4 linked regions of the Saccharomyces cerevisiae S288C genome follow. The protein of the gene in region 4 binds, or shares a complex with, the protein of the main gene of each other region. Each region holds a gene or a part of one and is shown on either strand. Other genes may lie near its edges.

Evidence for each region.
Region 1: MRP17 (region 4) and RSM27 share a complex: the UniProt entries of both Saccharomyces cerevisiae proteins name them as parts of the mitochondrial small ribosomal subunit.
Region 2: MRP17 (region 4) and RSM28 share a complex: the UniProt entries of both Saccharomyces cerevisiae proteins name them as parts of the mitochondrial small ribosomal subunit.
Region 3: MRP17 (region 4) and RSM24 share a complex: the UniProt entries of both Saccharomyces cerevisiae proteins name them as parts of the mitochondrial small ribosomal subunit.

The regions. Positions count from the first base shown.
Region 1 is NC_001139.9:920,382-923,033, forward strand, and holds RSM27 (mitochondrial 37S ribosomal protein mS33 RSM27), read left to right. Parts: upstream 1-1,793; coding exon 1,794-2,126; downstream 2,127-2,652. Other genes in the region: 40S ribosomal protein uS2 RPS0A, read left to right, coding at 194-283, 739-1,407; GPI1 (phosphatidylinositol N-acetylglucosaminyltransferase), read right to left, coding at 2,252-2,652. UniProt on the Saccharomyces cerevisiae protein: Component of the mitochondrial ribosome (mitoribosome), a dedicated translation machinery responsible for the synthesis of mitochondrial genome-encoded proteins, including at least some of the essential transmembrane subunits of the mitochondrial respiratory chain.
Region 2 is NC_001136.10:1,435,175-1,438,523, forward strand, and holds RSM28 (mitochondrial 37S ribosomal protein mS46 RSM28), read left to right. Parts: upstream 1-1,755; coding exon 1,756-2,841; downstream 2,842-3,349. Other genes in the region: IZH1 (PAQR-type receptor), read left to right, coding at 1-700; MZM1 (Mzm1p), read left to right, coding at 1,043-1,414; CORVET complex subunit VPS3, read right to left, coding at 2,941-3,349. UniProt on the Saccharomyces cerevisiae protein: Component of the mitochondrial ribosome (mitoribosome), a dedicated translation machinery responsible for the synthesis of mitochondrial genome-encoded proteins, including at least some of the essential transmembrane subunits of the mitochondrial respiratory chain.
Region 3 is NC_001136.10:812,669-815,676, forward strand, and holds RSM24 (mitochondrial 37S ribosomal protein mS35 RSM24), read right to left. Parts: upstream 1,485-3,008; coding exon 525-1,484; downstream 1-524. Other genes in the region: HMO1 (Hmo1p), read left to right, coding at 1-182; histone acetyltransferase NGG1, read left to right, coding at 1,784-3,008. UniProt on the Saccharomyces cerevisiae protein: Component of the mitochondrial ribosome (mitoribosome), a dedicated translation machinery responsible for the synthesis of mitochondrial genome-encoded proteins, including at least some of the essential transmembrane subunits of the mitochondrial respiratory chain.
Region 4 is NC_001143.9:436,597-439,404, forward strand, and holds MRP17 (mitochondrial 37S ribosomal protein bS6m MRP17), read right to left. Parts: upstream 897-2,808; coding exon 501-896; downstream 1-500. Other genes in the region: AUR1 (inositol phosphorylceramide synthase), read left to right, coding at 1-189; ESCRT-III subunit protein DID4, read left to right, coding at 1,182-1,241, 1,310-1,948; MET14 (adenylyl-sulfate kinase), read right to left, coding at 2,181-2,789. UniProt on the Saccharomyces cerevisiae protein: Component of the mitochondrial ribosome (mitoribosome), a dedicated translation machinery responsible for the synthesis of mitochondrial genome-encoded proteins, including at least some of the essential transmembrane subunits of the mitochondrial respiratory chain.

The sequences.
Region 1 (2,652 bases), on a different chromosome or scaffold from region 4:
CCCGTCGTGTTCCCAATTGTGAGTAGTACAGTGGCCTGCTGCCGGGCAGATAGTAGCAGGGCAGGACACTTGCCAGATCCCGTAGCAAGGATGCTTATAATATATCGAAATGTAGCATTGTTAGTTTACTTCGTAAACTGCCCTTGTAGAGTGAGGTATAGCTTAGAAAATAGCAAACTAAATAGAGAGCGAAATGTCCTTACCAGCTACTTTTGACTTGACTCCAGAAGATGCCCAACTTTTGTTGGCTGCTAACACTCACTTAGGTGCTAGAAACGTTCAAGTATGTTATACTCATTCCCGATTATATAATAGAGTAATGTGTGATTGAAAACAGTTCGAGTGAAAGAATAGCCACAACCAGGTTTCCCGCCAACCAAACGGAATGCTGGGATAGCATTTTTCAGGCTGAATAAGAAGAGAAATATATGAACAATCATTAAAACAGTTTGAAACTCCAGCTAATTATCAGCGAATATTTTGCCAATAGACTTTCTAATTGTATTATGTTATTAAATTTTAAATCGCTAATGAAAAAAAAAAACAAACCTTTGGTATTAAACCTCTTTCAATGAAATCAATTAATTCCGGTACCTATTCTTCCGACGCTGTTAGCCAACTATAAATGCCATTTTTTCATAGTACATTAATTTGAATCAGTTGATCATTCACAGCATATACCAAGTGTACGTTTTTGAATCTTTTATACTAACTTTTTCTTCTTTAATTTTGTTTCAGGTTCACCAAGAACCATATGTTTTCAACGCAAGACCAGATGGTGTCCACGTTATCAACGTTGGTAAGACCTGGGAAAAATTGGTTTTGGCTGCCAGAATCATCGCTGCCATTCCAAACCCAGAAGACGTTGTTGCCATCTCTTCCAGAACTTTCGGTCAAAGGGCTGTTTTGAAGTTCGCTGCCCACACCGGTGCTACCCCAATCGCCGGTAGATTCACTCCAGGTTCTTTCACCAATTATATCACCCGTTCTTTCAAGGAACCAAGATTAGTTATTGTCACCGACCCAAGATCAGATGCTCAAGCCATCAAGGAAGCTTCTTACGTTAACATCCCTGTCATTGCTCTAACTGATCTTGACTCTCCATCAGAATTCGTCGATGTCGCTATCCCATGTAACAACAGAGGTAAGCACTCCATTGGTTTAATCTGGTACTTATTGGCTAGAGAAGTTTTGAGACTAAGAGGTGCTTTAGTTGACAGAACTCAACCATGGTCCATCATGCCAGATTTGTACTTCTACAGAGACCCTGAAGAAGTTGAACAACAAGTTGCTGAAGAAGCTACCACCGAAGAAGCTGGTGAAGAAGAAGCCAAGGAAGAGGTTACCGAAGAGCAAGCTGAAGCTACTGAATGGGCTGAAGAAAATGCTGACAACGTCGAGTGGTAAGTAAGGTGATATTTACAAATAGTATATTAATAATTATAGTATAATGTTTTATTAGAATAACAGATTTCTTTATCAATTTAGCGGCTAAATAAAAATCAAGAAAAAAGAAATACATTCATTGTGTCATCTTGTCACACATTTAGCCATGTACTTTATTTGCTGAGAAGTTTAATCAATTGAGAGTAGTTAGCTATTGTAGTAAAAATGTGCAAATGAAGTCTTATCAACACGTAGCGTATATAGTGATCTAAAACAGTTAGAAATATAATAAGCGAACTTCTAAACCATTTTAGAGCACATAGCCATGGAGAATAGGTACTTGTTTTGACCCGCTCGACGAAGTGGTACGTAGTGATTGCGTGGATTAGTTTATCATAAGACTTTCAATGAACGTACCAAAGGCGAGACTCCTAAAAGTAGCAGAGTTATCTGCGAAGATATTTGATCAAAATTTCAACCCATCAGGTATAAGAACCGGTTCTAAGATTCTAAATGAGCGATTAAAGGGCCCTTCTGTGGCAAGCTACTACGGCAATCCGGATATCCTGAAGTTCAGACATTTGAAAACATTATATCCTGATATTGAATTTGTAGACCTTGAGGAGCAATATCGATTATCTATGGTAGAAGCAAAGAAACGTCGTGGTAAAGGTGCTCCTAAGAAGATGAAGAAGGATGCAGCTGCAACTGCAAAGGGGAAGGGGAAGAAAAAAAAATGATTGGAGCACCCTTACTAAAAAAAATATTCATTATGTAGAAACTCATTTCATGTACATACAAAATCAAAAATAAAACAACAAATAGCTGAAGCAAGAAAACGCTACTTTACTTATAAAAGAAAACGTTATGCCTGAATAGTCAGCCTTTTGTATAAATCCTTTACACTCAATGGCTTACTAGGCAGTGAAGAATAAAGAACATAGTACAGCTTATTTCTATTGACCATTATAGACTCCCCTCGGACAATCTTTCGTACAGTAGCAAACGAGAAATAATTTGTCCTCATTTGCGACAACAATAGATTGTATGGTCTGAACATACTCTTGAATTTAATAGGATTGTTTTGAAGTTCTAAGGTTGTATGCTTGTTAGAAACCGTGGTTTTGAGCTCAATTGAAATGCCACCGGGTAGACGTTTAGGATCTTTTAACCTAAGTAATAATGCGAACAATGGAAAATGGTTAATGAGTGCAATGACAGCTTCCGAGAATATTTCGATAGTTATTGTTAGCATTCTCAAAACTG
Region 2 (3,349 bases), on a different chromosome or scaffold from region 4:
TTATACACATTTGGTACCGGCTATCGTATACTTCGTGTTTGCCATTACGTTGACCAACTACTTTCTAATTCCCGTTTTCCCCTCCACTTCCTGGTCCGATTACACCGTTATAAACATTTTCTTGATGGGCGCTTTCTCATGTCTCATGTGCAGTAGCTGTTTCCACTGCATGAAGCAACACTCTGAAAAGCAAAGCAATTTCTGGAGCAAGCTCGACTACTTGGGGATTATCAGTTTGATTTCCTGTTCTATGATCCCTATAATATACTTTGGTTACTTCGACCACATATCCTACTTCAGTCTTTTCACGATTGTTACTTTAGTCCTGGCAACATTTTGTACAGTCTGTGTCCTCCACGACAAGTTTAACACTTCCACATTTCGTCCATTTAGGGCCATGTTTTTCATATTGTTTGGATTTAGTGGCTTACTCCCATTGACCACAGGGTTTTTCAAGTTCGGTATCCAAGGGGTTCTTAACAGAATAAAAGTCAGCTTTGTGTTTTGGGAAGCTCTCTTTTACATTTCAGGGGCTGTAATCTACGGGTTTAGGATTCCTGAAACTTTGGCTCCAGGGAAGTTCGATTTCTTCGGTAGCTCTCATCAAATATTTCATATTATGGTGGTTCTTGGTTCTGTATGCCACTTGAAAGCCATTATCGATTCTTACAAATTAATGCATTCTCATATCCACCCTTGATGGGCCTACAACTACTACAAAATCAAATAAATAACATTATATATCTAAGGTTAGAAAATAATTAAATGCAAAAAAAGTCTTTATTCCTTTTTAGATATTCGTCACATCATGCTTTTATCATAGATCGCATTTTGACAGGTACTTCGCTATATTAGCCTAATTAATTTTGGTCTTACTAAAGTGAGTAATGCCGAAAAATTAAACGTTTGAATAAGTGAACCTACTACAAAGGAAAGAGAGGAAGAGAAAAGGATAGGACTAAAAGACTTCCTTATATTTTTCGGTACGCTTGCGTTTCACTGAAGAGAATAAAAAGAACAAATTATATAAATTTAACACACTATGAGCACGAGAACAAAGGCCCTGAATGCATACAGGCATGGCTTAAGAGCAACCCGAATAGCTTTCCGGAATGATGCTGAAGTATTACTAGCCGCGAGAGCTAAAATGCGTTCAGGAATGTTATGTCCCCCAGATCCTAAACTCACCACAGAGGATCAGATTCAACATTTAGAGGATGTGGCTGTTTTTTTGAGACGAAACCTGGTTCAGGGCAAAAAGGTTGATGGCTCAAGTACTAAGGAGCCTAGGTACCATTTGAACATTCACAAAGACACCGAATTGGGTGACAATGAGACGATTGCAGACCCTACGGCAAGAGTGAAAACAAACTTAAAGGCAAGACCATTTAAATGCTCTGATAAAAAGCAATGATAATGCCTTGATTTTGTTTTATCTTCGAAGCTATATACATGTAAATACTTTTTTAGTACCTAGCAACTTTGCTAGGTGGCATATAAACTGATTTAGCACGATATATCGTTGCATTTGTTCTGTTTGTAGTATGTACATGTATACAGCTTGTTGTATTTGATGTGCTACTGAAACAGCGTAGTTGCTAGTGCTTTATCCCTTTTGACGGAAATGAACAAAGCTTTATAGCGGAATTAAACTTAACGAAACTGGAGAAAGCATAAAAGAGGAAAAGGGCAGCGGTAACTCATTAAATAATCTAGTTGGACGAGCCATAATAAGAGAAATAGACGGAGTAGAAAATGCGCTCCTCCATGTTTAGATGTGTGAGTCGCGCTCATTACAGCACAAGTGTCACAGAAGATTTCATAAATAGCATTCTAGCAAGGGCTCAAGAGGCAACAGCAAAAGCTTCCTCCAATGCTCTCAAATTGGACAAGATGAAGGAGGGTAGAATGCAAAATAAGAGGAGAAACGGGAATCAGAATAGGAATAGTATGAACAATAAAGAAAGCAGGGGTAGAGAGGGAAATCAAGGAGAAAGAAACATGAGACTGAAAAACCGTTCTAGTGATTCTGTTCGTGCTAACAAGCAGCAGTGGAATAAAGGTGCTAATACGTCTTTTGTAAAGAATCCTACTGGAAATACAGTAGTTATGCAGCCACAGTTCAAAAAGATGCAGAATGGCAAAAATAATTTGAAAGGAGATGCGAGAGTCGAAGATGATTTACTTGATGTCTTCAATTCGTCGATGGAGCAAAAACCTGTTAATTTCAATGGAACCCCCAAATCTAAAGCAAGGTTTCAAAAAAAGAGTCATATCTTAACAGCATCTAAAAGGAGAAAGGCTCCTCAACAGCAGCTACAGAAGGTTATCAAGAGACCTGTCAGTTCAGAATATGTACTAGAAGAGCCCACTCCTTTATCTTTGTTAGAATATACTCCTCAAGTTTTTCCAACAAAGGAATCCAGATTAGTCAACTTTACCTTAGATAGCTTGAAAAAATCCAATTACCCCATTTACAGATCGCCAAATTTGGGAATCCTCAAAGTACATGATTTCACCCTAAACACGCCAAACTTTGGTAAATATACACCAGGATCCTCCTTGATTTTTGCCAAAGAGCCTCAATTGCAGAATTTACTTATTGAAGAAGACCCAGAAGATTTTCATAGGCAAGTAACAGGAGAATATCAACTCTTAAAACCATATGTGAAAAAAGATTTTGAAAAACTGACGAAATCTAAAGATACTGTGAGTAAGCTCGTACAAAATAGTCAAGTTGTGAGGTTATCATTACAATCTGTTGTTATGGGCTCCGAGGAAAAGAAATTGGTATATGATGTTTGTTCTGGAATGAAACCAATTTCTGAATTACAACAGTAAATCAAACATCGTTATTTCATTCTTACATACCTGTAAATATCTAGTACGTATAAAATTTGAATTGTATGCCTGAACAGAAAAAGAATAGGTGGGCTCTTCTTATCCTTGACTATCAAAATTCCGGCTTAGTTCGTCAGAAATGGATATTTGATTTTTCAACAAACATTTCCGCAAATTAGATTCCTCCTTCTTTTCTTGATACTTAATAAGTACCTTTAAAAGCAATTCGGATATTGTTTGTACGGGAAATACGGAAGGTATAGTTTCGAGGATCTTTAATTGAATATCTGTATCATCTAAAAGTTCAAAATTTCTCTGTAGCAAATTAGTCACTAATTCAACTGAGTAATTCAAAGAAGATATGTCCAAGTATTGTTTCATCACCGCAACCAAGTTCTGCTTGCCTATGTATTTTTCTACACTTCTGAAATCATTAAATGACAAATATATTTTCAGCAATTCTTCGGAAGAAACCCAGTTTGTTAATTCATTGGGGAAAAATAACAAG
Region 3 (3,008 bases), on a different chromosome or scaffold from region 4:
TACCACCAGCTTCCTTGGAAAACGGTCCAACTCATGCGCCGGTTCCAATTCCTTTCAGTTTACAGCACGCCGCTGAACCTCCTGTGGAAAAGAGACCTCACGATGATGATGGATCTTCGGAAAAGAAGAAGAAGAAGAAGAAGAAGGATAAGAAGAAGGACAAATCCAACTCTTCTATTTGATGGACGGACAAACTCGTTACTATTACTCTACTGTCTTTCTAAAATAAATATAATAATAAAAAAAGGAATAAAATATAGCAGCATGGGCTTGCTTTGCCCATAGTGTATGCACATATATATATATATATATGTATCTATCCCTCTCCTCTTGTAACAGTATATCTTCCTTTTCATTTTCGTTGTGTATATGTATGTATATAGTTCTAAATTTGCGATTATACCTTTTCAAACCTCTCAATGTTGTATTGTGCTAAAACTATGTACATTTTAGAGAAAAAGAAGGAAGCAAAACAAATACATAATATATACAGGGGGGCCGTTCTTTTTGTTTTTGAACATGTATTAAAGAGTGCTCAATAATTGATCTACAATATCAAATTTCTTCTTTGGTGCATCTTCAGGGCGTTTCCAGTGTTCAGGAAACTCATAATCCCGCTTCTTTTTACGTAAACTCTTAGCTATAGTATGCCTTGTGTCAAGGGGAACATCGCTAAAATCGTCCTCCGTCAAATCTTTTGACTCCGCTAACAGCCTTTGAAGAATATCATGCAAATAACGTGCATTTTGTGATGCATGCTCAAATTTGTCACTAGACATTTTAAAAATATCTGTAGTATGATCATAACGCGACCTGGCTAATATTCTGAACTTATGTAATGATTTTTCCTCCAGGCCCAATTCCTTGGTTTTAACGCTTAATACAACCTTCCTCGAATTGGGATGCTCTTCGCCAACATAACTAGTGTATCTATAAGTGACCGGATGACTTTCTGGAGATGGTCTCTTGTATTCCTGGCGATATTGAGCTAATAGCGGTAACTCATATGCGGCTAATCGATTATAGAACCTTTGTTCACGATGTTGGGCAACCAATTCCTGAGCTTGCGATGGCAATTCATCAAACATAAACGGTCTAAGACTGTTATCGCGATTCACGTTTCCACCTTTTATATCAATAGCGCCTTGTTCTCCTCTGTGATATAGCTTTTTAATATCGTTAACAGGTACATTTGAGTACTCAGAAGTGGTTAATAAGGCATTCAGTTCGTCTTTGTTAGGTTTATACTCTGAACCCAATCTAGCCATTCTCTCCCAATATAACTCTAAAATTCTTTGAGGAGGTAAACCCTTCCATTTTTCGGGATGCATATAGAGATCTGCTGAAAAAGCTGGTCCTTCTCTCACAGTTTTAGCTTCATTACCAGCATCACTGTTCAAACATCTAGACATTGTCAAAACCCTTTTCTGGGTGCTCCACAAATTACCCCGAGAGACTTTCCATAACCCCAATGGTACTTTCATCTTCCTAAGAATAGTATTTTAGTAGTGTCAAATGTTTCGGTAACTCTACTGCCTTGTTCACAGATCGAAATATACTCAGAATCAGTTACAGAAAAGGTCCCATTTAGCGTAATTTCTTAGCGGAACTCATTAAAGAGCTCCGACGTGCAACGCGATAAAGGTTCGCCGACGACAACAAAACAATGGCAGGCAGTCATTAAATGAACGCCATCAAATGAAATATTCGTGGTAGCGATTACAATAAGGAAGTTGGAAAAACATAACAAAGACGGAGCGACGAGAAGTATTGGACAGGACATATGCCTAGACATGGAAGAAGAGGAAAACTGCCAAAAGGCGAGAAACTTCCTAAAAAGGAGGGAGGCGACAATACTCCGTCAAAGCTTTTATCGTCAATGCTTAAAACTTTAGATTTGACCTTCGAGCGTGATATTGGAATGCTCAATGGCAAAAGTGTTAGGTCCATACCCAATAAAAAAACTTTACTTGAATTGCAAAGTCAATTGGATAGTCTCAATGAAATACTGGGTACAATTGCCCGAGGTGATCAAGAGACCATTGAAGCGCTTCGGAAAATAAGAGACAGTAAAAATGAGAAGCAAGCAAACGATGAAAAGCAGGAAACTTCAAATGCAGACGGGCAGCACGAAAGTTCTACTGCTACTGAAGAAACGAATATAATTGATAAAGGGGTACAAAGCCCACCAAAACCTCCTCCTTCTAATGAAATCTCCGGCACAATTGAGAACGATGTAGAAAGCATCAAACAAGCGGCTGATAATATGGCTAAAGAAGAAATTAATGAAGACAAAGATTTACAAGTTCATAGAGATCAACCCAGAGAAAAGAGGCCGTTCGATTCTGAAACTGAAAATAGGGCCACTGAAAATGAAAACACACAGAGGCCAGACAATAAGAAGCAAAAAATTGACGTTGACAAAATGGAAAACGATCCAACTGTTAAAAATCCAAAATCAGAATTTGTAGTATCGCAAACGTTACCTCGAGCAGCAGCAGCACTCGGCTTATTCAATGAAGAGGGACTAGAAAGTACAGGAGAAGACTTCCTAAAAAAAAAATACAATGTAGCTAGTTATCCAACAAATGATTTGAAAGATCTGTTACCAGGTGAATTACCGGATATGGACTTTTCGCATCCTAAACCAACCAACCAAATTCAATTCAATACCTTTCTAGCATTTGTGGAAAATTTTTTCAAAGATCTTAGTGATGACAACTTAAAGTTTTTGAAGATGAAATATATTATACCCGATAGCTTGCAATTTGACAAAACTTATGACCCTGAGGTAAACCCGTTTATTATACCGAAACTAGGCCCTTTATACACAGATGTTTGGTTCAAAGATGAAAACGACAAAAATTCTGCCTATAAAAAACCTTCACCATATTCAAACGATGCATCTACTATACTACCAAAAAAAAGTGCCAACGAACTTGATGATAATGCTTTGGAATCGGGCAGTATATCGTGTGGGCCCTTATTATCTAGGCTGTTGAGTGCTG
Region 4 (2,808 bases):
TCAAAGAGTGATCCATTGGCTGCAGATTCAAACGATATCGAAAGTGTCCCTTTGTCCAACTTGGAACTTGACTTTGATCTTAATATGACTGATGAACCCAGTGTAAGCCCTTCGTTATTTGATGGATCTACTTCTGTTTCTCGTTCGTCCGCCACGTCTATAACGTCACTAGGTGTAAAGAGGGCTTAATGAGTATTTTATCTGCAATTACGGATACGGTTGGTCTTATGTAGATACATATAAATATATATCTTTTTCTTTCTTTTTCTTAGTCAGGATTGTCGTTTAGCATAATATACATGTAGTTTATTTAATCACATACCACTGATTATCTTTAGAATTTTATAAATTTTTGAAATAAATGGGTGGCTTTTAATGGTGTCTATGTTAAGTGAGGCTTTTAGAATGCTCTTCCTGCTTTGTTTATTATATGTGTATGAAAGATATGTATGTATTTACATGTGTTTGTAGCGTCCCCAGTCAAAACCTGTGCGCTATACCTAAATGGATTGATAATCTTCATTCACTAATTCTAAAATAGACTTCTTCCCCAAAGAACGGTGTAACGATGAGGCTCTATCCAGCTGCTTATCTAAATCAACTTTAACGATGGATGATCTTATGACACGGGGATCTTTCTTTAAAGTTCTTAGAATTTCAGACTGTACCGCAGCTGATGAATCAAACAGCATTAAAAAGTGATATGCTCGAAAATGTTTTTCCTGGTCTTTCTTCATTATTTTAGGAAGATACCTTATGCCCATGGGTACAATGTCCCTCACCACACCTCTGTTTTGAATAATCAGTTTCCCGATTGTGGAAGACAATTCTTTTGCTTCCAACTTTGGCGCATTGGAGTTGGTTATGCGAACAAGTCCGATCAGCTCATAAAGCATCTTAGTGAAAAGGGTGGTTTTGCGTTATTCTTTCCTCTGTTGAAGCTTTTCTATTTTGTTTAAGCTGAACTAGTGGGAGTTTCCATTAAAAGGCTAAAGTCTTGTTGAAACTTTTCCGGGTTAGATGATAACTGCGAAAAGATAGATAAAATCAGCATTAAAGGGACTTCGTCTCCTCCTAATCAGAAATCATCCTTTCGAATTATGCGTATTCAGTTGAAGCGTATTTGTGACCAGTGTACTTCAAGGCTGATTGTTTCACCCTTGGACACAGAACGTTAAACAATGAGTTTGTTTGAGTGGGTATTTGGAAAGAATGTCACTCCGCAAGAGAGGTTAAAAAAAGTATGTTGTTCTGTATTTGGATCAGTTATTTTAGTGAACATACTAACGTTAATTATTTGAGTTTTTAGAATCAAAGGGCTTTAGAAAGGACTCAGAGGGAGCTTGAAAGAGAAAAGAGAAAATTGGAACTACAAGATAAAAAACTTGTATCAGAAATTAAAAAATCGGCAAAGAATGGGCAAGTTGCAGCTGCGAAAGTTCAAGCAAAAGATTTAGTAAGAACCCGGAATTACATCCAAAAATTTGACAACATGAAAGCTCAACTTCAGGCGATATCATTGAGAATACAGGCCGTTCGAAGTAGTGACCAAATGACACGTTCTATGAGCGAGGCCACTGGTCTTTTGGCTGGAATGAACAGAACAATGAATCTACCTCAGTTGCAAAGGATATCGATGGAGTTTGAAAAGCAGAGTGATTTGATGGGTCAACGACAGGAATTCATGGACGAAGCTATTGATAACGTCATGGGTGATGAGGTGGATGAAGACGAAGAAGCTGACGAAATTGTAAATAAAGTTCTTGATGAGATTGGAGTGGATTTGAATTCACAGTTGCAAAGCACGCCTCAAAATCTGGTTTCTAATGCGCCGATCGCAGAAACAGCGATGGGGATTCCTGAACCTATTGGCGCCGGATCAGAATTTCACGGTAATCCTGACGATGACTTGCAAGCTCGGTTGAACACTTTGAAGAAGCAGACTTGAGCGCTCTGAGTATATTTAATGAATAATAGGTCTATACTATAATACATCAACTACTGATATCAAAGTAGGCACTTAGAATCAAAAGGCTTCCGAAAATTTGTTCAGTTTTTCACTTTACTCAATCTCGTCACTAAAGTTTTCTTTTTTTTTCGAATGAATCCTCGAATAAATATGTTCTATATTATATATATACATCTTTTATATATCATTAAATGTACAGTAATCGGTCAAATTACAAATGCTTACGGATGATTTTTTCACTGATTAAGTACTCATAAATAATGGTAGCACATTCTTCAACCGTCTTCTGGTCGGTTCTCAAATGTAGCTCTGGAGCTTTTGGCGCTTCATATGGGGCAGAAATACCTGTAAACTCCTTGATTACACCCTCCCTAGCTTTCTTGTATAAACCCTTAGGGTCCCTTTGCTCAGCGACTTCTAATGGAACATCAACAAATATTTCAATGAACTTCAAACCAGCCTCCTTATGTAGTTCACGAGCTCTATCTCTGTCAACTCTGTATGGAGAGATAAATGAGGTGATTGAAATAGCACATGAATCAGCAAATAGCTTAGAAACTTCGCTAATTCTACGAATGTTTTCATTTCTGTCCTTTTCTGAGAAACCCAAATCCTTGTTCAATCCAAAACGAATGTTGTCACCATCCAATCTATATGCAGACAAGTTTTTTTGGAGCAGTAACTGTTCTAGCGCACAGGCGATTGTACTTTTACCTGACGCACTTAGACCTGTTAACCAAATAGTACAACCGTCCTGTTTTCTCAATGCCTTGCGTTCGTCGTAAGTAAGATTTGGATGCCAAGTAATATTAGTAGCCATTGGTGTACAGTGTGCTTGG